Oryctolagus cuniculus: one gene and its partner. The protein of the gene in region 1 purifies or fractionates together with the protein of each later gene. This does not show direct contact. Links are inferred from orthologs where the notes say so. Each region holds a gene or a part of one and is shown on either strand. Other genes may lie near its edges. The genes, in order: PBXIP1 and SLC27A1.

Region 1 (9,804 bases):
GGTGGAGGGCTTTGGAGTAGCCAGAAGGTAGGAAGAAGTTAGGGTGAGAAGCTAAGAGAATGAGGCTGGGACGGCAGGGTTCTGGGCCAGGGGTGGGGGCTGACACATGCCATTCTTTTCCTTTTCCATCCCCCGTGCCAATTCTCAGATCATTGCCAACCACCACATGCAGTCTATCTCATTTGCGTCCGGCGGAGATCCGGTGAGTTGGGGAACAGAGCACAGGTTGGGGGGGGGGAGGGGAAGGGGCTAAGGATTGGGAAGCCATCAGCCAGGGCAGTGGGGGAGGTAGGGTTGCAGAGGTATTTGAAAAAGACTGGGTTTAGGCATCAGGAGTAAGGTGGAGCTGTAGAATTTAGCTAACCTGCCCCTTCTCACTCTGTCTGTCTTAGGACACAGCCGAGTATGTTGCCTACGTTGCCAAAGACCCCGTGAATCAGAGAGGTGAGGCATGGTGGGGCGCACTGGGTGGGGCGGGATGGCGGTGCGGCAGGTGAGGGGGACCAGGGCCGCCCTTCCCCTCTCACCGAGCAGAGATGAGGAGGGGCTTCTGCTGAGGAGGATCAGTCCCCCACACCCCCGCCCGAGACCCCGCCTCAGAGCTCACCGGCAGCCTTCGCTGTACCTGCAGCCTGCCACATCCTGGAGTGTCCCGAAGGGCTTGCCCAGGATGTCATCAGCACCATTGGCCAGGCCTTCGAGTTACGCTTCAAACAATACCTCAGGAACCCACCCAAGCTGGTCACCCCCCATGACAGGTGAGCACGGTGGGGTGTGGGCCAGCTGTTGGGCCCCAGACCCAGATTGGGAATGCAGGTCTACTCTTCCCACGCCAGAGCTCGGGGAGGTTCAGGGAAAGAAATAACCTGTGTGCCCTGCTTCCTACTTCCTGCGATTCTTGGGTTTCCGGTGGCCATTAGGCCGCCTGCTGCAGGGCCAGCTCTTCCTCTCGCTTGCCTGTGGTGGGGCTGTATTTCAGGGCCTCCAAACTGCATTTCTTTCTCTGGCTGAATGAGCTTTTCTCTTCCCAGCCGCCACCTCATTACTAGCCTCGCCCTCTTTCTTGCCTATTTCTCTTTCATTTTCTGTGTTTTCCTATTTCTAGAAGCCACCAGGCTCGTGGATCTTGGAGGAAGGCTGTTTGTCCTGAGACCCCTTCCTTTCCCACTGTAGGCTTTAAGGAATGAGCAGTGGGCCAGTAGGGATGGTGTATTTGGAAGTTCAAGTCCTCCGGCACATGCCCTCCCCACTATTTCGTGCTTCCCCTTCCTCTCAGGAAATAGCCTGGTGGTCAAGGGCATGAGCTGTAAAGTCAAAGCTGAGTTTAAATCTTGCCTATAGCACCTTTTAGTTGGGAGATCTTGGATAAATCTTTTCACCTCTCACCTTAATTTTCCTCCTCTATAAAACTAGGGAGGGAAACCAGGAGGGTGAAATGACTGTACCTGGGAAACACCCAGCCTCAGGCCTGCGGACTGAAGGCTCGCTGTGTGTGTGATGTGCTGTGGGGTTCCCCTCGCCCTGCCCGGCTCTCCTGCGTACTCACACTCCTGTGCCTTCCTGTCCCTCCCAGAATGGCCGGCTTTGATGGATCAGCTTGGGATGAGGAGGAGGAAGAGCTACCCGACCATCAGTACTATAATGACTTCCCGGGGAAGGAACCCCCTTTGGGGGGCGTGGTGGACATGAGGCTCCGGGAAGGAGCTGCCCCAGGGACTGTTCGACCTGCTCCACCCAGTGCGCAGACCCCCAGCCACTTGGGAGCTACCCTGGTAAGTTGCTAGGATGGAGGTGGGCTGGGCCCAGGCTGGTTAGGACTGCTGGTCTCACCTTCCTTTATCCCTGCAGCCCGTAGGGCAGCCTGTGGGAGGAGACCCGGAAGTCCGCAAACAGATGCCACCTCAACCACCTTGCCCGGGTATGAAGGGAGGCAGAGAGAGAGGGAGCGAGTGAGCTGAGGAGGGAAGAGCCGGGGGTGCAGCAGGCAGGGCCAGGAGCACCACGGAGCATCCTTTTCCGCAGCAGGCAGAGAGCTCTTTGATGATCCCTCCTACGTCAACGTCCAAAACCTAGACAAGGCCCGGCAGGCAGGGGGAGGGGCTGGGCCCCCCAACGCGACCGCCAATGGCAGCGCACCCCGGGACCTCTTTGACATGAGTGAGTACTCCTCTCTCCTTTCTGCTTCGTCCCCGCCTTCCCACCTGGTTCCGTCTCTTCTGCCTTTCTGCTCTTTCATTCCTGGCCTCCCTTCCCTGAAGGTCTCCGTCCCGGGAGTGTGTTGTGCCAGCTGCTGCTCCTTGCTCTCTCTGTAACCCCCCAGAGCCCTTTGAAGATGCGCTTCGGGTACCTGCACCTCCCCAGTCGGTGTCCATGGCTGAGCAGCTCCAAAGGGAGCCCTGGTTCCATGGGAAGCTGAGCCGGCGGGAGGCTGAGGCGCTGCTGCAGCTCAACGGGGACTTCCTGGTGCGGGAGAGCACGACCACACCTGGCCAGTACGTGCTCACCGGCCTGCAGAGCGGGCAGCCCAAGCACCTGCTCCTGGTGGACCCCGAGGGTGTGGTGAGTGACAGAGGTGTGGACGTGGGTGGTCGGAAGTACCCTCTGGTGCAGTCGCAGCTGTCGGCCCCGCCCTCCAGCGCCCTCAGCGCTGTGCCTGAGCTGTGTTCATTACAGCCCTGGCCGGTACTCCAATCCCCAAACCTTAAGCCCCTCAGAGCCAGACGGTGCTCGTCTATTCTGTGTCCCTCCTTTGACAGATGAGGAAACCCCCGGGGAGAGGTTGTGATAGCCAGTGGTGAGGAGCCACACACGTGCAGGAGGAGCCGGGGGCCTCCCCAGGTCCCCAGACCAGTGTCCTTTCTCTTAACACTCAGTGTCTCACTGCTCCTCAAAACTTCCATTTCTCTTCTGTACAATTTCAGCCTCCTTCCCACTTTTTTTTTTTTTTTTTTTTTTTTGCACAGTGAGATACGCCAACCCTGTCCAAATCAAGAAAGGCTTCATGCTTTCTGGACTGAGGTCCCCTTGCCTTTCTGTAGTTCCTTCACCTGCCCACTCTCACAGCTGTCTCCAGCTTCTCTTTCCAGGGAAGCCTCAACCAGCCATCACCCCCCACCCCCAGCCCCACCCCCGTCTTTTTCTCTTTGCTCAGCCTTCTCGACTGTTTCATTTTCTTCAAGACTTAAGGGCCGCCGAGGTCTTGGCTCCTCACCTGAATTGACCCCCCTTCCTTCTCACTTTCCCAGGTTCGGACAAAGGATCACCGCTTTGAGAGTGTCAGCCACCTCATCAGCTACCACATGGACAATCACTTGCCCATCATCTCTGCGGGCAGCGAACTGTGTCTCCAGCAACCTGTGGAGCGGAAACTGTGATCCGTCCCCGCGTCCCCGAGCTCTCACAGAAGACGCCCCTGCCTCCCCTTCCACCCTGTTCCCTGCTCTCAGGACTTCACTCAACGAGTGTTCTGTGGGCTTGGCCTTGGGTCAGAGCTGGGAGGAGGGTGGACACTGGGTTTTGCATTCAGCTGAGGGAGAGGGTTTGAGTCAGGAGCCTGGGGTAGAATCCTGCTTCTCCCCAAACCTCACCAAAGTATTAATGTACAGAGTGGCCCCCCCATACCTGTGCCAACCTGATGCCCCCTTCCCCAGGAAGGTGGGCACTCGAGATGGAAACGTCCCCTGGTGATAGGCCCAGTGGAGCAGTCACCCTTCTGGGGAAAGGGGAACAAATCACACCTCGGGTCTACCCCTGGGCTTCAGGGAGTCACAGACCACTCTCAGCCTTCCCCCCAGCGTTTAACTTTGTGCCTTTGACCATCTCCTAGGTCTGACGATATTTAATGCAAAGAAGTTTTCGGGCCCCTGAGTTAAGGACAGGGGTGCTGACGCCGTCTTGGCTCCCAGGACCCTGTCCTCCTTGCTCAGCAGCCTCTCCAGTTTGGGTTGGGAGAACAGAAGCAGTAGTGGCAGCTGTCCCCTCTCCCTGGGGAGGTGCAACCCTTAGAGATTGCCCCAGAGCCCCCCTCCCGGCCAGGGGGGAGATGGACCCCCTCCCTTGCTCAGTGCCTCCTGGCCGGGACCCCTCTCCCCAAGGGGTCTGTATATACATTTCATACGCCCCGCCCCTCCCATGTTGCATGCATGTTATACTCTACAGCCAAAGTGTAGCTCTTCCTCCTGTATCCCGGCTCTGCCTCTCCCTTCCCAGGGTGTGAACTGGAGCCTCCTGTACAGTTCACTCTCCCAGGAGGGTTCTGTGGAGGCGGGAACAAGGGCACTGAGACTCGAAAGCATTAGACAATCCCAAATACCATCTGTCGATTTGGAACCGCGCTCATTTTTACTTTGTATGCACATATTTTATGGCTGTAGGTTTACTTTCCTAATTTTGTTCTCCATGGCTTGTTCTTGAACACAAAATGATGATGATCAACTACATCCACACATCACCTCTTTGACTTTTCCAAGCCCTCTCACCACTATTGGCATTTTCCTCACCGGGCCTGCAAAGGAACTCGGACTGGCAGCATTATTATTATTTTTACAAAAGAGACCAGAGGCAGAAACGGATTTTGAGCCAGGACTAGAACTTGGACCTCTTACCGCAGGCTGGGAGGCAGGCGTTTGGCTGGCTGTGTCGATTTCACGAAGGGGGAACTTAAAGCCCACAGGTCCCCCAGTACCTTCTACACGCGGGGCCCTGTGCTAGGCCCACTGCAGCCACAACCACAGAAGAGGCCAGTCCTGCTCTTTAGGCCTGTGGGGAAGGGAAAGCTGACAATTTTAATCCTAGCCACCACCTCCTTTCGTGTGTTTGGATGTTTTCACGGGTCTCACTTATACCAAAGGGAAATAATCTTCATTAAAATCCGTATTTCTTCTACTTCGCCTTCTTAGCCACTCTTGCAAGCCCATTGTTCGCGCGGAGCCTCCGCGGCAGGAGGGGAGGCTCCAGGTCGCCGCTGGCCCCACCTGGCCTCACTTGGGGCCCGGCGCCGCCCGCTGGGCCCTGGGCGCCGGCCGACTTAGTGCCCGGTGGGCGTGGAGACCGATTGTCCCCGGGGGATGCGGCTGCGGAGGGGCCTGGTGCAGGCGGGGCGGGGCGGGGCAGGGTCCGAGGCCAGCCGGCGGCTGCCGGTGCCTCCTGGGCACGCGCCCCTCGGCCCGCAATGGTACGGTCCGGTCGCAGGGGCTGGCGGGCGGCGTCCCGCGGTGAGCTGGGGCCGGCCGCTCCCTAGAGGGCGACGGCTGTCTCCACTAGGGCCGCCCCGTGGTCCTCTCTCCCCTCTTCCTGCGTTTTGAGGCGCCGAGTCTCCCAGTCCTTGCTTCCCCTCCCCGCCGCGCTCGGTGGTGGCGGCCGAGCGGAGTTCCGGTTCCGGTCGCTGCTGCTGCCGCGGGCGGGCGGCGAGTCTGGAGCGGGCTCGCAGTTCGTGCTCCAGCTCGGCGCCTCCCCCTCGCCGCACCTTGGGGCTGCAGCAGCTCGGGGGCCTGTGCTGCCCCGACTCCCCTTCCGGGGGATGGTGCAGCCTGAGGGCGCCTCCATCCCCCGCCGCCGCTGATCCCCGGCCCCCACTCCATGGCCGCCTCGGCGCCGCCCCCACCGGACAAGCTGGAGGGAGGTGGCGGCCCCGCACCGCCCCCTGCGCCGCCCAGCACCGGGAGGAAGCAGGGCAAGGCCGGTGAGAGTGCTGAGACGGGGCGGGGGCTGGAGAGACCTGGGACTTGGGAACCTTGGAGGGGAGGGTGGGGTTGGTCCCAAAGGCTGAGAGCGGGGAGGGCTTGAAGGGACGCTCAGGTGAAAAGGATGGGTCGGTGTAGCGCTCCGGGGTTGGGGGCAGGTGTGACAGATTGAGGACTTTCAAGGGTGTGGAGCCACGTGGAATCCAGTCAGGTGGAGTCTGATAGTGTCAACAGATAGGGTGTCTGCTTTCGAGAAAGGCATAGCTGACAGTAGGGCCCCACTCAGGACACGTTTTTCATATGACACTCCTTTGTTAGTATTCGCGAAATAAATGTGTGTTGAAGTTGACCGAGTTCTTGGAGCAGGGCTGGGAGGAGGAGGTTGGAGAAACTCGTCTGCCTTTTGCTGCTCTTCCAGGTCTGCAAATGAAGAGCCCAGAAAAGAAACGCAGGAAGTCCAATACTCAGGTGAATGTTGGCTGGTGGTGGGCGTGATTGCCAGGAGCCCCTGGCGCTGTCCGCTCTGTATTGCGTCAGGTGCAGGGAGAAGGAAGGCGGTGGGTTCTGTTTCTGGTCCTCGCCCTCAACTTCCTAACAAACGTAGGGGATAATCCTTCCCCACGAGAGCCCCTTACCCAAGAGCTGGTCGGGCAGGGTTGCAGCCTTCTTTTTCCCCCATTTTTCCTGTCCTGGCTCCTTCAAGACAGCGTAGCAGGTAACCACCTAGCGAACCTTTTCTAAGTGCCAGACGTTGTGCCGAGGGGCCTGAATGGTTTGGGGGAGCTGGGCACTGTCCTTGTATCACGGAGAGCTTTGGGGTCAGAGCTGGGACTTCAGCGTGGTCCTCCCTGTTTTTCAAAGGCGTTCCTGACTGCGCTGTTCTGCCCTGCTCCCTCTGTTTCTATGTTGCATTCTGAGGTCCGTCTTGGTCTTGGCACTGGCTGGCCGGTGTCTGCCTCCAGAACGCTGCGGCGTCTGTGGTGTTCTGCCCACGTGTGTTTGGCTCCGTGTCAGGCCCCTGTGACCCTCTTTCCCTCATCTGTTCCTCCCTAGGGCCCTGCATACTCACATCTGACGGAGTTTGCGCCACCCCCAACTCCCATGGTGGATCACCTGGTTGCATCCAACCCTTTTGAGGATGACTTCGGGGCCCCTAAGGTGGGGGCCACAGCCCCTCCGTTCCTTGGCAGTCCTGTGCCCTTTGGAGGCTTCCGCGTACAGGGGGCCATGGCGGGCCAGGTACCCCCAGGCTACGGCACTGGAGGTGGAGGGGGTCCCCAGCCACTTCGGCGACAGCCTCCCCCTTTCCCTCCCAACCCTATGGGCCCTGCTTTCAACATGCCCCCCCAGGGCCCTGGTTACCCACCACCAGGCAACATGAACTTTCCCAGCCAACCCTTCAGCCAGCCTCTGGGTCAAAACTTCAGCCCTCCTGGTGGGCAGATGATGCCAGGCCCCGTGGGGGGATTTGGCCCCATGATCTCGCCCACCATGGGACAGCCTCCCAGAGGGGAGCTGGGTCCTCCTTCCCTCCCGCAACGCTTTGCCCAGCCAGGGGCGCCTTTTGGCCCTTCTCCGCTCCAGAGACCAGGTCAGGGACTCCCTAGCCTGCCCCCCAACACAAGTCCCTTCCCTGGCCCGGACCCTGGTTTTCCTGGATCTGGTGGTGAGGACGGGGGGAAGCCCTTGAATCCACCTGCTCCCACTGCTTTTCCCCAGGAGCCCCACTCGGGCTCCCCTGCTGCTGCTGTCAACGGGAATCAGCCCAGCTTCCCACCAAACAGCAGCGGCCGGGGTGGGGGTACTCCAGATGCTAACAGCCTGGCACCCCCTGGCAAGGCAGGTGGGGGCTCAGGGCCCCAGCCTGCCCCAGGCCTGGTATACCCGTGTGGTGCCTGTCGGAGCGAGGTGAACGACGACCAAGATGCCATTCTGTGTGAGGCGTCCTGCCAGAAGTGGTTCCACCGCGAGTGCACGGGCATGACTGAGAGCGCCTACGGGCTGCTGACCACTGAGGCCTCTGCCGTCTGGGCCTGCGATCTCTGCCTCAAGACCAAGGAGATCCAGTCTGTCTACATCCGCGAGGGCATGGGGCAGCTGGTGGCTGCTAACGATGGGTGACTGCCCGGTGGTCTGGGGAAGTGCACACGTCCCTCCCTGCTCTTCCAGGGTGATTGTTTCGTGTCTGGCTCTTGGTCCTTGTTTCCGCTGGTTTCCCATCCCCGTGGAGCAGAAGCAGTGGCTCCTGGGAGCAGAAAAGGAACTGAGGTGGGCAGGCGGAAGAGCCGGCGCGTGTCTCTGGAAACTCACGTGCGTTGAGATCTGTTTGCAGAGATCCAGGAAACCAAAGTCCTGCTGAGCAGAGCTGTGTGTTTTGGTGGCCATCTGGAAGTCTAGGAGCGTGGCTGCAAGAAAAGAAGTGGACGGAGGCAGACCCCAAGGACCGGGGTGTCCGCCGGCGGAGACGGATGCCCTGGACACCCCTCTCTAGGCCCGCAGCTCCAGCCTTAGCTTTTGGGGTCAGAGTGTTTGAGAGGTCTGGCCCCATCCCTGCAGTAGCCTTTTTGTGGGCTCTGGGAGACAGCTTTGAGGAATACGTGGAGAGTTCTCCCTCACCTTCCTCTCCCCTCCCCTCCCCTCCCCTCCCCTCCCCTCCCCTCCCCTCCCCTCCCCTCCCCTTCCCTTCCCCTCACCCCAAGACCCACCCAACTCCTCCCCCTTCAGAGAACCAAATAGCTGGATGGAGTAGGAGGGCTCCAGGCTGTGGCTGTCTTTGGTGACTCTTTGGGCTTCGAGACAGTGGGCCGGAGAGGCTGTCGGGAACATTTTCCTGATACCAAAGTCACTGGGCCTTTCTCAGCCTCTCGTGCTTTTCTCCTAATGGCCATATTTTTTGCCAAAAACGAGGTTCCGTGGTCTGAGCGACCAGAACATTAGACGTCTAGGCTGTCCTGAAGTCTGCACTCGGGTGGCTCGCCCCACCCCCCACCTTGTCCATCTGTTGCACATTATACTCAGCGCTGATCTGAAACTTTGCCCCGCGCTTGCTTCCCTGCCTCCCTGGCTTGATTGGAGGAGGGCTGGAGAAGGCAGAGCCCTTATACCTCATTTTCCCTCCTGATAAAGGATCCAAGAGAGGCCCTGTCATGGCCCTGTGGGTAGGGGGAGGCCCTGGGATCCTCACTGCCATGGTACTAAAAGGTAGAAGAGCCTGGATTGTTTTGCTGCTTTTTCCTTGCTGTTCTTTCTTACCATCTTGGGCCCTCTCAGCCAGCGCTGCACTGGTGTTTTTTTTTTTTTTTTTTTTTTTTTTTTTTTTTTTTTTTGTGAGCACTGCCAGTCAGAGGTGGGACTTGGGCCTATTCAGGAGCCCCTGACAGCTGCCCTTTCTTCCTTGCAGCTGGTACACACATTCCTCAAAGGGGCGGGGGAGGCAGGCACAGGGTGTGGTGGCAAAGGCCTGCCCTCTGTGGTGTGTGCCCCCCACCCCTGGCACTGCCCTGATGGAACCAGCAGACTGAGGCTGTGAGAAAGAAGAGGGGGCTCCGGGCTGCTCTGGCATTGTGGCACTCACCCCCCACCCTTCTGCACTGAGACAGCATCGGTGGCACCTCCCTACCACTCAGCTTGGTATTGTGTTTGTGGTTCTGTCTGCCCCTCTTTGTTGCTACCCATGACGCCTACATGTTTTGTAAGTGGCTCCTGGGAGAGCTGTCTTTCATCTGCCCTCTCCACTGCTTTTTCGAAGTGGGGTGGCAGAGGTGTGGTTGTGTGTGGGGGGGTCTTTTGTATGGTTGGATTAATAAAATGACTTGAAAAGCCAGACCAGGACTCCTTGCTATTGATGTGGAAAAAGGCTGGTGGCACCACTGTCACAGCCAGGAGGGAAGGGGCGCTTGGGAGGTGAGGATAAGTATTTGGCACAGGGCCCCTGGAGGCGGGAGTGGGAAAAAGCCTCAGGCCCCTGGCTGACCCTGGTAGAAGCGGTAGAAGGGGCTGAGCCGAGGAGGCCAGTGTTCTCCCCTCCCTCGTGTCCTGAGAAGCGAGTTTCCTTTCTGAGCACATTCCTGGGCCAGGCCTGGAGCCAGGCTGCAGACTTGGCTCCAAGGCTTCTGATTGTGCT
Region 2 (9,804 bases), on another chromosome or scaffold:
GGGTCGCAGCCGGGTCACGGGCGCAGCCCCCCTGCGGGTCGCTGCCGAGGGTCGCAGCCGGGGGTCACAGCCCGTGCCGTCCGCAGCAGGCGGCCTGCGGGACCCAGGCGGGATCCCCGCTTAGCACTGGGGCCCCGGCTGAGCCCCAGCCTCTCCGGGGGCCTCCGTGTTCTCATCTGTGAAATGGATGGAGAGGCTTAGAGCCGCTGTCGCCGCCCCTCAACCCCAGAGGGTCGGACACTCATCTAGCACAGTCCCCACTGCCCGCTCCCAGGGGTGGGTGTGGGGCGCTCCTCTGGCCACCGGGTCGTTGGGAGGAGGGTCCCGGGGGCTCCAGCCCTGGCCTCTGCCTTTCCTTTTGAGAGATTTTGGTAAAGGCTGGAGCCCTGGCAGCCACACTGCACCATGAGGCAGCTTTAAGGACGGCACTCAGGGAGGCTGCAGAGTGGGGGAGAAGTCAGAACCTACTGCTGCCCCCGTGGCCCGGCATGCTGCCCATCTCAGAGGCTGCCCTGGCCCAGGGCCCCCCCGTGGCTGAGGGACCCAGGCAGACTGCTCTCCCGGCCTCCCCTGGGGGAAGCAGGGCCCAAGTTTGGGGTGCACAGGGCACTCGGCGGTGGGTACCCTGCCGGGGCTGCGTCCTGGGGCCGGGCTTGGAGGCTTCAGCCGGGCGGGCAGGGTCCTCTTCGAAGGAGGCTGGGCCCGGATCCCGAAGGCCGCGGCGGGCAGCCCGCGAGGCCCGGAGCAGGGTGTGGGTCAGCGCGGCTGCCGGAACCAGGGCCCCCACGCCGAGGACGGAGGCGGTGGCCACGCCTGTCTCGATCTCGAAAAGCAGCAGTGCATAGATGGACAGCGCTGGGAGAGGAGATGGTTGTCACTTGTTCAGTCAACAAGCAGCTGCCATTGATTCAATCAACAAATGTGTTTTCGATGCCATGCCATGGCGGAGCGTGGCCTGAACCCCAAGGGGCTGAGTCTGGAGGCTGCTCTCAGGGCCGCTGGGTGCTGTCCTCAGGGGACAGCCAGCAGGGACCCAGCCGCAGAGGAGGCCTGGAGAGGGGAGCCCAGGAGCCCGCGGGCACAGCCCGTGCAAAGGTCCTGGGGTGGGAGCCGGGAGGGCGTGGCTAAGGGAGGCGGGGCCTGGAGCCACTCGCTCATGCGGGACCTGCCTGCCCGGGCCCAGGGTGGCCCTGCCCCGGGCTCCGGCGGCCTGGGCGGACGCACAGCCTCCCCCGGCCTCAGTGTGCCATCTCAGGGTCCTGCCCCTGGCCCCGCCCCGGCCGCGCGCCACGCACCTGCCAGGTAGACGGAGACCCCGCAGCACAGGAGCCCGAGCGCTGCGTGTCGGAGGCCGCGGCAGTCGTACAGGAAGCCGTCGGACCTGGGCCGGGGAGGACCCGGATGTCAGCCGGGCATCCAGTCCCCTCTGAACCCCCAGCCTGCGCCTGCCGCAGGGCCTTTGCACTGCCACTCCCACCTCCAGCCGGGCCGTCCCGGCGCCCTGTGCCCTAGGTCTACTCTGCTTCTCCGTTCCCGGCGGCCCCAGGAGCTGAGGGCGGCCAGGGTCCAGCGAGACCCCCGCCCGGCCCCAGCTCAGCCCCCTGCACGCATACCGTGGCCCCTGGAGGGCGGCAGCTTGGTCTGGGCGGGGTCCACGCTAGAGCCCCTGACGCCCCTGAGGACGGGCCGGCAGCCCAGGCCAGGCGCTGGCCAGGATCAAGTTCAAGTCCGGTCTCGCCCCCTCCCGCTGGGAGAACCCGAGGCCGCGGCCCTGTGTCAGGTGCCAGGGCCAGCGGCCAGCGACACAGGGGCCCGGCGCCGGCAGGCAGGGCTCGCACCCTGCTGCGACTCCACCGACGTGCGGAGGGGCCCCAGCCTCGCCCCTGCGCCCCCCCCGCCCCGCCCCCTACCTGCGGGAGCCGGGCGTCCGGGCCAGCTCGGCGCCCAGGTGCCCGCAGAGCGCGGCCAGCAGCAGGCAGGCGAGGCCGAGCGCCAGGCCCAGCGCGGCCAGCGCCCCGGCCAGCGGCAGCAGCGCGCCCGCCGCGTCCTCGGGCAGCCCGCGGCCGGCGGCCGCCTCGGGGTCCGGCCCCCGCAGCTCGGCGCGCCCCGCCTGCAGCTGGAACAGCAGCTGCGCGCCCAGCGCCGCCAGCACGGCGGCCGGGATGCCCAGCAGGGTCATCGCGGCCAGCACCCGGCCGCCGTACGACCGGGCCATGGCCAGGGATGCCGTCCAGGGGTCCCGGGGTGGGGGGAGATGGGGGCGTCGGCGGGACCCCCAGAGGGCGAGGCTGCGGGGAGTTCTGCGGGCCCTGGGCGGGGTCGAGGGCTGCCGCGGGGTGGGGTAGCGGGTCCAGGGGTCGGGGGTCCGGGGAGCCGGCCTGAGCTCCCTGAAGCCTGGGGGAAGTCCGGTTTCTCCGGTGCCCGCGTAACAGCTCCGGTCGTCGGGGCTGGAGGGGGCGTGGCCCTAGCGGGGGCGTGGTCTTTGGAGGGGCGGTGTGAAGTCTGGGAGGGGCGTGGCCCTGGGGGAGGCGTGCTCTCCAGCCGGGCGGGAGTGAGGTCTGGGAGGGGCGTGACCTTCAGAGGGGCGGGGTTAAGCCTGGGCAGGGGCATGGCCGTTGGCGGGCGTGGTCTTTGGAGGGGCGTGGTTAATTCTGGGAGGGGCATGGCCGGGGCGGAGGCCTGATCTCAGCCAGGCAGAGGTGAGGTCTGGGAGGGGCGTGGCCTTCAGATGGGCGGGGTGAATCCTGGGAGGGGCGTGGCCCGGGCAGGGACATAATCTTCGGAAGGGTGTGTTGAAGCCTGGGTGGAGGCGTGGCCTTTCGCGGGCAGGGTGTGGCCTTGGGCGGGAGGGGCGGAGCCTGGAGTTTGGCCCCAGGACCCCCAGACCTCGCTAAACCTGTGTGGCTCTGAGCACCTGATGTTGACGAAGGGGAACAGAAGCTGAAGGAAACCGAATTTATTAGTAAACGATGTGTTGACTACTTCGAGGGACAGAGGCCCACGCGCGGATGCACCCCGCCCGCAGCTGGGGCCGAGCTACGGGGAAGCCGGGGTCCCCCCCCCCCGGGAACGGCTGGGCCGGGGCGGGGCTCGAACCCAGGGTGCGGGTCTCCGCGCGGGTGCCGCCCGCCTGCTCGCCGGCCGGCGTTGAAATACCACCCGCACGGCCACAGCAGGGACCCGTGGTCGCCGGGGAGCCGGGGCCTCCGCCGTTGCCCACCCCCCACGCCCCCACCCCTGGCGCTTTCAGTCCAGCCCCCAGGCCGCGCCCCCCGCGCCCCCCGCGCCCGCCGCGCCCTCCGCGCCCCGCCGCGGCCGCTCCACGCGGTACTTGCAGCGGCGCAGGGGCTCGGTGAGGCTCCGCGGCGCGGGGTCGTCCAGGTCCTCGGGCGGCAGGAAGCTGCGGTCCAGCACCTCGGACGCCTCCTGCCAGTTGGCGAAGCAGGCGGGGCCCAGGCGCTGGATCTCGGCGGCCGCGTCCCGCGTGAGCACGTCCCCACCCGGCTTCAGCACCACGACGGCCGGCAGGCGCTCCACGCAGAACTGGCGCCCCAGCTCCCTGTGGGGCGGGCGCGGCTCAGTGCAGGCCCCGGGGCGGAGTGCCCGCAGCCCGCTCCCTGCACCTTGCCGAGCGCCTGCTGTGTGCACTGCAGGTCCTGTTCTGGGACACCCAGGGCGGGCTCTCGCCACAGGGCCCTTGCACCTGCTCTGCACGGACAGCTGTGCTCAGGAGCCGGCGTGGGGCCCAGCGGTTCCGTGGGGGCATCCCGCGTGGTGAGAGGCCCGGCTCCCCGACAACGCAGACTGCAGGAGGCAGCAATGGCGGCCCAAGTGCTGGGGACCCTGCCACCCATGGGGGAGACCCGGATGGAGCTCCAGCCTCTGTGCTTAGGCTAGGGGGGGCGGCCAAAGTAGGGCGGGGCCACAACGGCCGGAGCTGAGCTGATCCAAAGCCAGGAGCCAGGAGCTCCATCCAGGTCTCCCACGCGGGTTCGGGGGCCCAACGACTTGGGCCATCTCCCACTGCTTTCCCAGACCACAGCAGGGAGCTGGACTGGAAGTGGAGCAGCCGGGACTCGAACCAGGGTCCCTATGGGATGCCGGCACCGCAGGCCACCGCTTCGGCCCTGATAAATATATCTTTTTAAAGATGATTCCTCTCCCAGGAGAGGGCCCCTCCTCCAGGCAGCCCGCCGGGCTCACCTCCGCCAGGCGTCCTCGAAGGGCAGGAAGAGCCACTTCTCGGGCATGTCCCTGAGGAACTGGCCCTGCTGCTCCTCCGTGCGGTCCTGGGACACGTACACCAGCGCCAGCTGCGCCGCCCGCAGCACGTAGAACTCGTCGGTGAGCCGCACGAAGAAGTCCTTGAGCACGGGCGCGAAGGCCTGGCAGCGCGGGCAGGCGGCCGCGCCGAAGAACAGCAGCAGCAGCCGGTTGTCCAGCCGGCGGCTGAGCTCCGCGTCCGTCTCCAGCTCGTCCTGCTCACTGTTGTTCCGGATCAGGACGCGGCCGGAGAACAGGGCGGCCATGGCCGGCTCCGGGTGTCCGGGGCTGGGGAAGCGGGGCCTTTAGGACGGCGGCTTAAGGTCCGCGCTAATCAGCCTAAGGCTGCAGGGCAGCCAAGGTCAAGGCGGGGAGAGGGCAGTGCGGGGGGGGGGGGGCGCTGCGCTACCTGCAGCGCCAGCTTCCCATAGGGGCGCGAGTTCGAGTCCCGGCTGCTCCACTTCCCATCCAGCTCTCCACTGTGGCCTAGGAAAGCAGTAGAAGATGGCCGAGTCCTTGGGCCCCTGCACCTGCGTGGGAGACCCGGATGGAGCTCCTGGCTCCTGGTCTTAGATTGGCCCAGCTCTGACCGTTGTGGCCATCTGGGGAGTGAACCAGTGGATGGAAGACCTCGCTCTCTCTCTCTCTTTCAAATCAATCAATAAATCTTTTTTTTTTTTTTTTAAAGGGTAACATCTCCAGCATCAGTCGCTCAGGTTTGAGTGAACAAATGAACCTCAGCTCCGTCCCGCACCTTGCCCTGTATAGCGCGCTGGTTGCGGCCGGGTGGCCTCTCTGCCCGGCCCGGCCGGCCCGGCGGATCCCGGCCAGCGGCCGGCAGGTGCCCGCCCTCGGGGTCTCCCTCCCCGCCCGCCGCCCCAGCAGGCCTGGGCCCGGGCCCGGGAGGGCGGGCGCTGAGCGCTGGCCGGGCCCTGGGCTCCGAGTGGCGCTGGAAGCCGGCCCTGGTCGCCGCCCAGCACAGCGCCGAGGTCGGCCAAGCAGGGCAGGAGACGAGCCAGCGGGCGGGCGGGACCGGGCGCGGCGCGGTGAGAGGGGTCCACAGAAACGCACGCCCCCGGAGACTCGCAGGAGCTCCAGGAGCCCCGGACAGGGCTGCGCCTGCGGGCAGCTGCAGGTCAGCCGGGCCTGGGCTCTGGGGCCGGGGCCGGGGGCTCCGGGCAGGTGCCGGTCAGCGGGGTGGGGGCCCGGCCGGTCCTGGGCTCTGGGGGCGGGGCCGGGGGCTCCGGGCAGGTGCATCTAGGACGCGCGGATCCCACGTCTGAGCCTGCGCAGGCCGCGCTCTGGCGCTTTCTGGGGCCCTGAGGGCTCGCGCTTCGGACTCCCCGCGGCCCCTCCGGGCGCACGCCCTGAACCGCAGGGCGGCGACCGGCTTAACCAGGCTCTAGAGGTGACCCGGGCCCTCCCGGCCCCCGGGCCGCGGCTCGCGGACGCCACCCGGAGCTCGGCCCGCCGCCCCTGGAGCCACGCCCCCGTCGGAGGAGGGCGGGGCGGGTAGGCGTTGCTATGGGGACAACGCCGGTCTCACAGCCCCGCCCGGCGGGCCGCTCTAGGCCGCGCGTCTCGTTGGCGTCGGCTCTCTGGCCCGCGGTTTCTCTATGGGCGCTGGAGCCAGACAGCGGGGAAGAGGGCGAAACAACCAGGCCGCACCCGGGCGCGAGGCTGCAGGGGGCCCGGCTCGGGGGCGGGGTCTAGCTCGGCGTGGGCGGAGTCTGGCTCCGGGAGGGCGGGGTCCCCGATGAGTGGCAGCTGCTGAGAGGTAGAGGCGGGGTCTAGCTCGGCGTGGGCGGGGCCGGCCCTGGGGGCGGAGCTCGGCCGCGGCCGGGCGGAGGTGGGCGGGGCCGGGGCCGCGTCCGCGACCCGAGCTCCTGCGCTTCCCAGGATGCGGGCCCCGGGTGCGGGCGCGGCCTCCGTGGCCTCCTGGGCGCTGCTCTGGCTGCTGGGGCTGCCGTGGACCTGGAGCGCGGCGGCGGCCCTCGGCGTCTACGTGGGCGGCGGCGGCTGGCGCTTCCTCCGGATCGTGTGCAAGACCGCGCGGCGCGACCTTTTGTGAGTGGGGCCCGGGCGGGGGCGGGGTCAGTGGGCGGGGCGGGGCCTGCACGGGTCCGGGCTGGGGGTCGGAGATCTGCACGGGGGCTCGGGGCTCGGAGGCCGAATGCGGGGGTGCCTGAGGTCGGGGGCGGGGTCTGCACGGGCATGGGGGGGCCCTGAGGAGAGGCCGCAGGGGACACCTTGGGGGCTCCTGGAGGGCGAGGGGGAGGTTCCAAGGTGATTGGGGGCCCAGGAGTTGCTTGGGAGACGAGGAGACTGAGAGGGGCCTCCCGGGGTCCCGGGTGGCGTTGACAGGCGTTGACATCACACCGAACCCCCGGGCTGGGGGACTCTCCGTAGGGGCCGTGGTGACTGAGGGGGGCCCAGTGATCTCTGGGCTCGTGGAGGGGCTGGTAGGGGTTGAGGACTTAAGGGTCTTTATCCAGGGTTTCTATCCCTACCGGGCCATTTGCCGGATTTTCAGTGGCCGGGCCGCTTTGTGAGGGTTTGGGGTTTGTCGGGGCCTGGGTGGGGGGCGCCACTCTGAGTTTGCAGCGATCCCGGGCCCCAGGCGTGGCTCAGGGGGGCGGCTTAGACGGCCTGGGGGGTGAAGGTGGAGTTGCTGGGGGCAGAGCTGAGGAACAGGGGCGCCCCTGGCTTGTCCCCGGCTCCTGGGAGGGGGGAGTGCGCCCATTTCAAGGGTGAGGAGACCAAGGCCACGCTGGCCAGCGGGTCTCAGCGCCTCCGCCGCTGCGGAGCAATTCACGGCTGTGAGCAACACCTGTGCCCATTTCACAGATGCGCAAACGGAGGCGCAGTGTGGCCGCGTCGCTTCTCCCAGGACACACAGAGGGAGGCTCTGAACATAGCCACATCTGTGGTCTGTGGTCAGCCTTCGTGTGGACCTGCCCCCCACTCCGCGCAGGGCCTCAGGGCTTGGGGACCTGTCTGTCCCGTGGAAGGCAGCGAGAGAGAGAGAGAGAGAGAGAGAGAGAGAGAGAGAGAGAGAGAGAGAGAGAAGGTCTTCCATCCACTGGTTCACTCCCCAATTGGCTGCAACGGCCGGAGGTGCGCCAGGAGCTCCATCCGAGTCTCCACGCAGGTGCAGGACCCCAGTACAGAGCCAGCGCCGGCCGCCTCCCAGGATGCGCATGCGCAGGGAGCTGGGCCGGAAGCAGAGCGGGGGACTCCAACCTGCTGCACCAACCACGTGCCCCTGCCCCCTCCCCGGTGTGGGCCCCGAGGCTGCGACCTGATCGGTGTTTGTGGCTCCCAGCCGGGACTGGGGGGGCCTCTGAGGGATTCGCACCGCTTCCCTGGGGAGGGCGGCTAACGGGGCCCCACTTTGCAGGTGGGTAAACCGAGGCCCGAGTGGGAGGGGCCACGGTGTTTGCGCTCTGGTGGGCGCCGTCTGAGCGCCGGAGGAGGGGCCGCGTTTGGACCCCAGGTTCGGGAAAGATTCGAGCGCCGGCCCAGTTCTCCTAACCCGCCCTGCCCCGCCTGGCCCAGAGTCCGTGCTCGGTGACCGCTTCCTGCCCCGCAGTCGGGAGGGGAGGGTCGAGGAGGGGCCCCGGGAAGGGCGCGGAGCCACACACTAGGCTCTTTGTGTGCAGGCCGGGGGTGGCCTGGGCCGCGGCCAGCGGGGGCCGCCCGGGCATGCAGCCGGGGCACAGCGGCGGGTGCAGGGCCTGCCCCGGGGGCTGCTCTGGGGGCGAGAGCAGGAGGGGGGGCGAGGGTGTGGGGGACGAGGGCAGGACCGGGGTGGGCGAGGGTGTGGGGGACGAGGGCAGGACCCGGGCAGAGGGTGTCCCGGGGGGCCAGGGTGTCCCGGGAACCACTCCCCCCACTCCTGTCCCCTGTTCTGGACGCTGACACCCACCCGGGCTTCCTCCGGCCTGTCGCCCCCACCACCGCCCTCGCCGCCACCCTCTCGGGCCCCCTCCCGCGGTCCCTGGGGCCCCTGGGCTGAGTTTGCTCACAGGGATGAGTGGGGTACACAGTAGGCGCTCAGACGCGAGGAGCCGATCGCCCTCGGCCGGCCTGGCCCTGCTGGCTTTGGCACTTGGTTAGGGTCCGAGGCTCCATTCCTTCATCCGAGCAGCGCTCCCCGGTGGCGGTGCATGCATTGAGTGCCTGCTGTGTGCGCCGCTGGCTGGCGTCTGGGTGAGGGGCGGCTCCCGCGCGGTTGCTCCTCGAGTTCCTTCCCCTCGCCGAGTCCCGCGTCCTCCGCTGACCGATAGGGGGCGCAAGGCACGGTATTCAGCAAGTGCTCAATAATTGCTGATCACGCTCACCTTGCCACTGCTTATTCCTCAGATGGATGAGCAGGATTTTTATTTTTTGAGATTGATTTATTTACTTGAAAGGCAGAGTTACAGAGAGGTCAGAGGCAGAGAGAGAGGGGGAGAGAGAGAGAGAGAGAGAGAGAGAGAGAGAGAGAAAGGTCTTCCATCCACTGGTTCACTCCCCAGATGGACGCAACGGCAGGAGCTGGGCCAATCCGAAGCCAGGAGCCAGGAGCTCCATCCGGGTCTCCCACGTGGGGGCGGGGACCCAAGCACTTGGGCCATCTTCCGCTGCTTTCCCAGGCCACAGCAGAGAGCTGGGTCAGAAGTGGAGCAGCCGGGACTCGAACCGGCGCCCCTATGCGATGCCGCGGCGACTTTACCCGCTGGGCCGCAGCACCTGAGCTTCCTAAGCACCAGGGTGAAGGCCGGCTGCCTGATTTACGTTTTCTGGAAAGTTCTCCCTCTGGGGGTGCGCAGGCGCCCATGAGCCGCAGGGCACGCACCCGCCGGGCCCCTTCCTTCCTGTTCCCCCATTGCTGGCTCTGGTGCCTCTGCAGAGCGGGGTGGCCCCCCGACCCCGCCCACCGCTGGAGGCCCCGCCCTCTCCACAGAGCAGGCTGGGGGGCGGGGCCAGGACTTCCTCTCCCCGCACCCCTGGTGGGTGGGGCCCTGGTCTGCCGCCGCCACCCCCAGGTTCCCGGCGTCACAGCCACGCGTCCCTGCCCTCCGGGGACAGGCGAGGAGACGGAGCACCAGTCGATTGCACCTGCGGTGGGGAGGCAGGAGGGGGCCAAGGCCTGCGGGGGGGGGGGGGTCGTGCCGATGCTGCAGAGCCCGTGCAAAGGCCCTGGGGTGGGAGCATGGCAGAAACATCAGGGTGGGTGTGGCTGGAGAGATGAGCGGGGAGGAGGAGGGGGAGGGTCTCGCTCTCGCTCCAGCGCTGCGGGGTCTCAGGGAGGCCAGGGACGCCCGGCTCGGGCCCCTTGGCAGACGCAGAGCGTGGGGACCCCGGCCCTGTCCCTGTGTGCAGGGGCTTCCCACGAGAGGCCGAAGAGAGACAGGGGCCCGCGTCCCACGTCACAGCGCCTGCCTCCAGCTCCCTGCGCACGCGCACCCTGGGAGCCGCGGTGAGGGCTCAAGGCTCTGGGCCCCCGCCGCCCACGGGGGAGACCCGGATGGAGCTCCCGCCGCCCCCCAACACCCT

The links.
Region 2: the proteins of PBXIP1 (region 1) and SLC27A1 purify together in Homo sapiens (co-immunoprecipitation; 3 studies listed by BioGRID and IntAct, with this or other methods). This does not show direct contact. The link is inferred for Oryctolagus cuniculus from reciprocal best matches to the Homo sapiens genes PBXIP1 and SLC27A1.

What each region holds. Positions count from the first base shown.
Region 1 is NC_091438.1:43,542,609-43,552,412, forward strand, and holds the start of PBXIP1 (pre-B-cell leukemia transcription factor-interacting protein 1), read left to right. Parts: upstream 1-5,119; 5' UTR 5,120-5,577; coding exon 5,578-5,680; intron 5,681-6,099; coding exon 6,100-6,149; intron 6,150-6,734; coding exon 6,735-6,839; intron 6,840-9,804. Other genes in the region: SHC1 (SHC-transforming protein 1), read left to right, coding at 149-202, 393-444, 632-758, 1,574-1,772, 1,849-1,918, 2,023-2,157, 2,321-2,559, 3,246-3,374. UniProt on the Homo sapiens protein: Regulator of pre-B-cell leukemia transcription factors (BPXs) function. Inhibits the binding of PBX1-HOX complex to DNA and blocks the transcriptional activity of E2A-PBX1.
Region 2 is NC_091447.1:65,337,898-65,347,701, forward strand, and holds the start of SLC27A1 (long-chain fatty acid transport protein 1), read left to right. Parts: upstream 1-5,265; 5' UTR 5,266-5,398; intron 5,399-6,162; 5' UTR 6,163-6,163; coding exon 6,164-6,330; intron 6,331-9,804. Other genes in the region: TMEM221 (transmembrane protein 221), read right to left, coding at 458-855, 1,296-1,381, 1,911-2,215; NXNL1 (nucleoredoxin-like protein 1), read right to left, coding at 3,247-3,559, 4,204-4,551, 4,673-4,731. UniProt on the Homo sapiens protein: Mediates the import of long-chain fatty acids (LCFA) into the cell by facilitating their transport at the plasma membrane.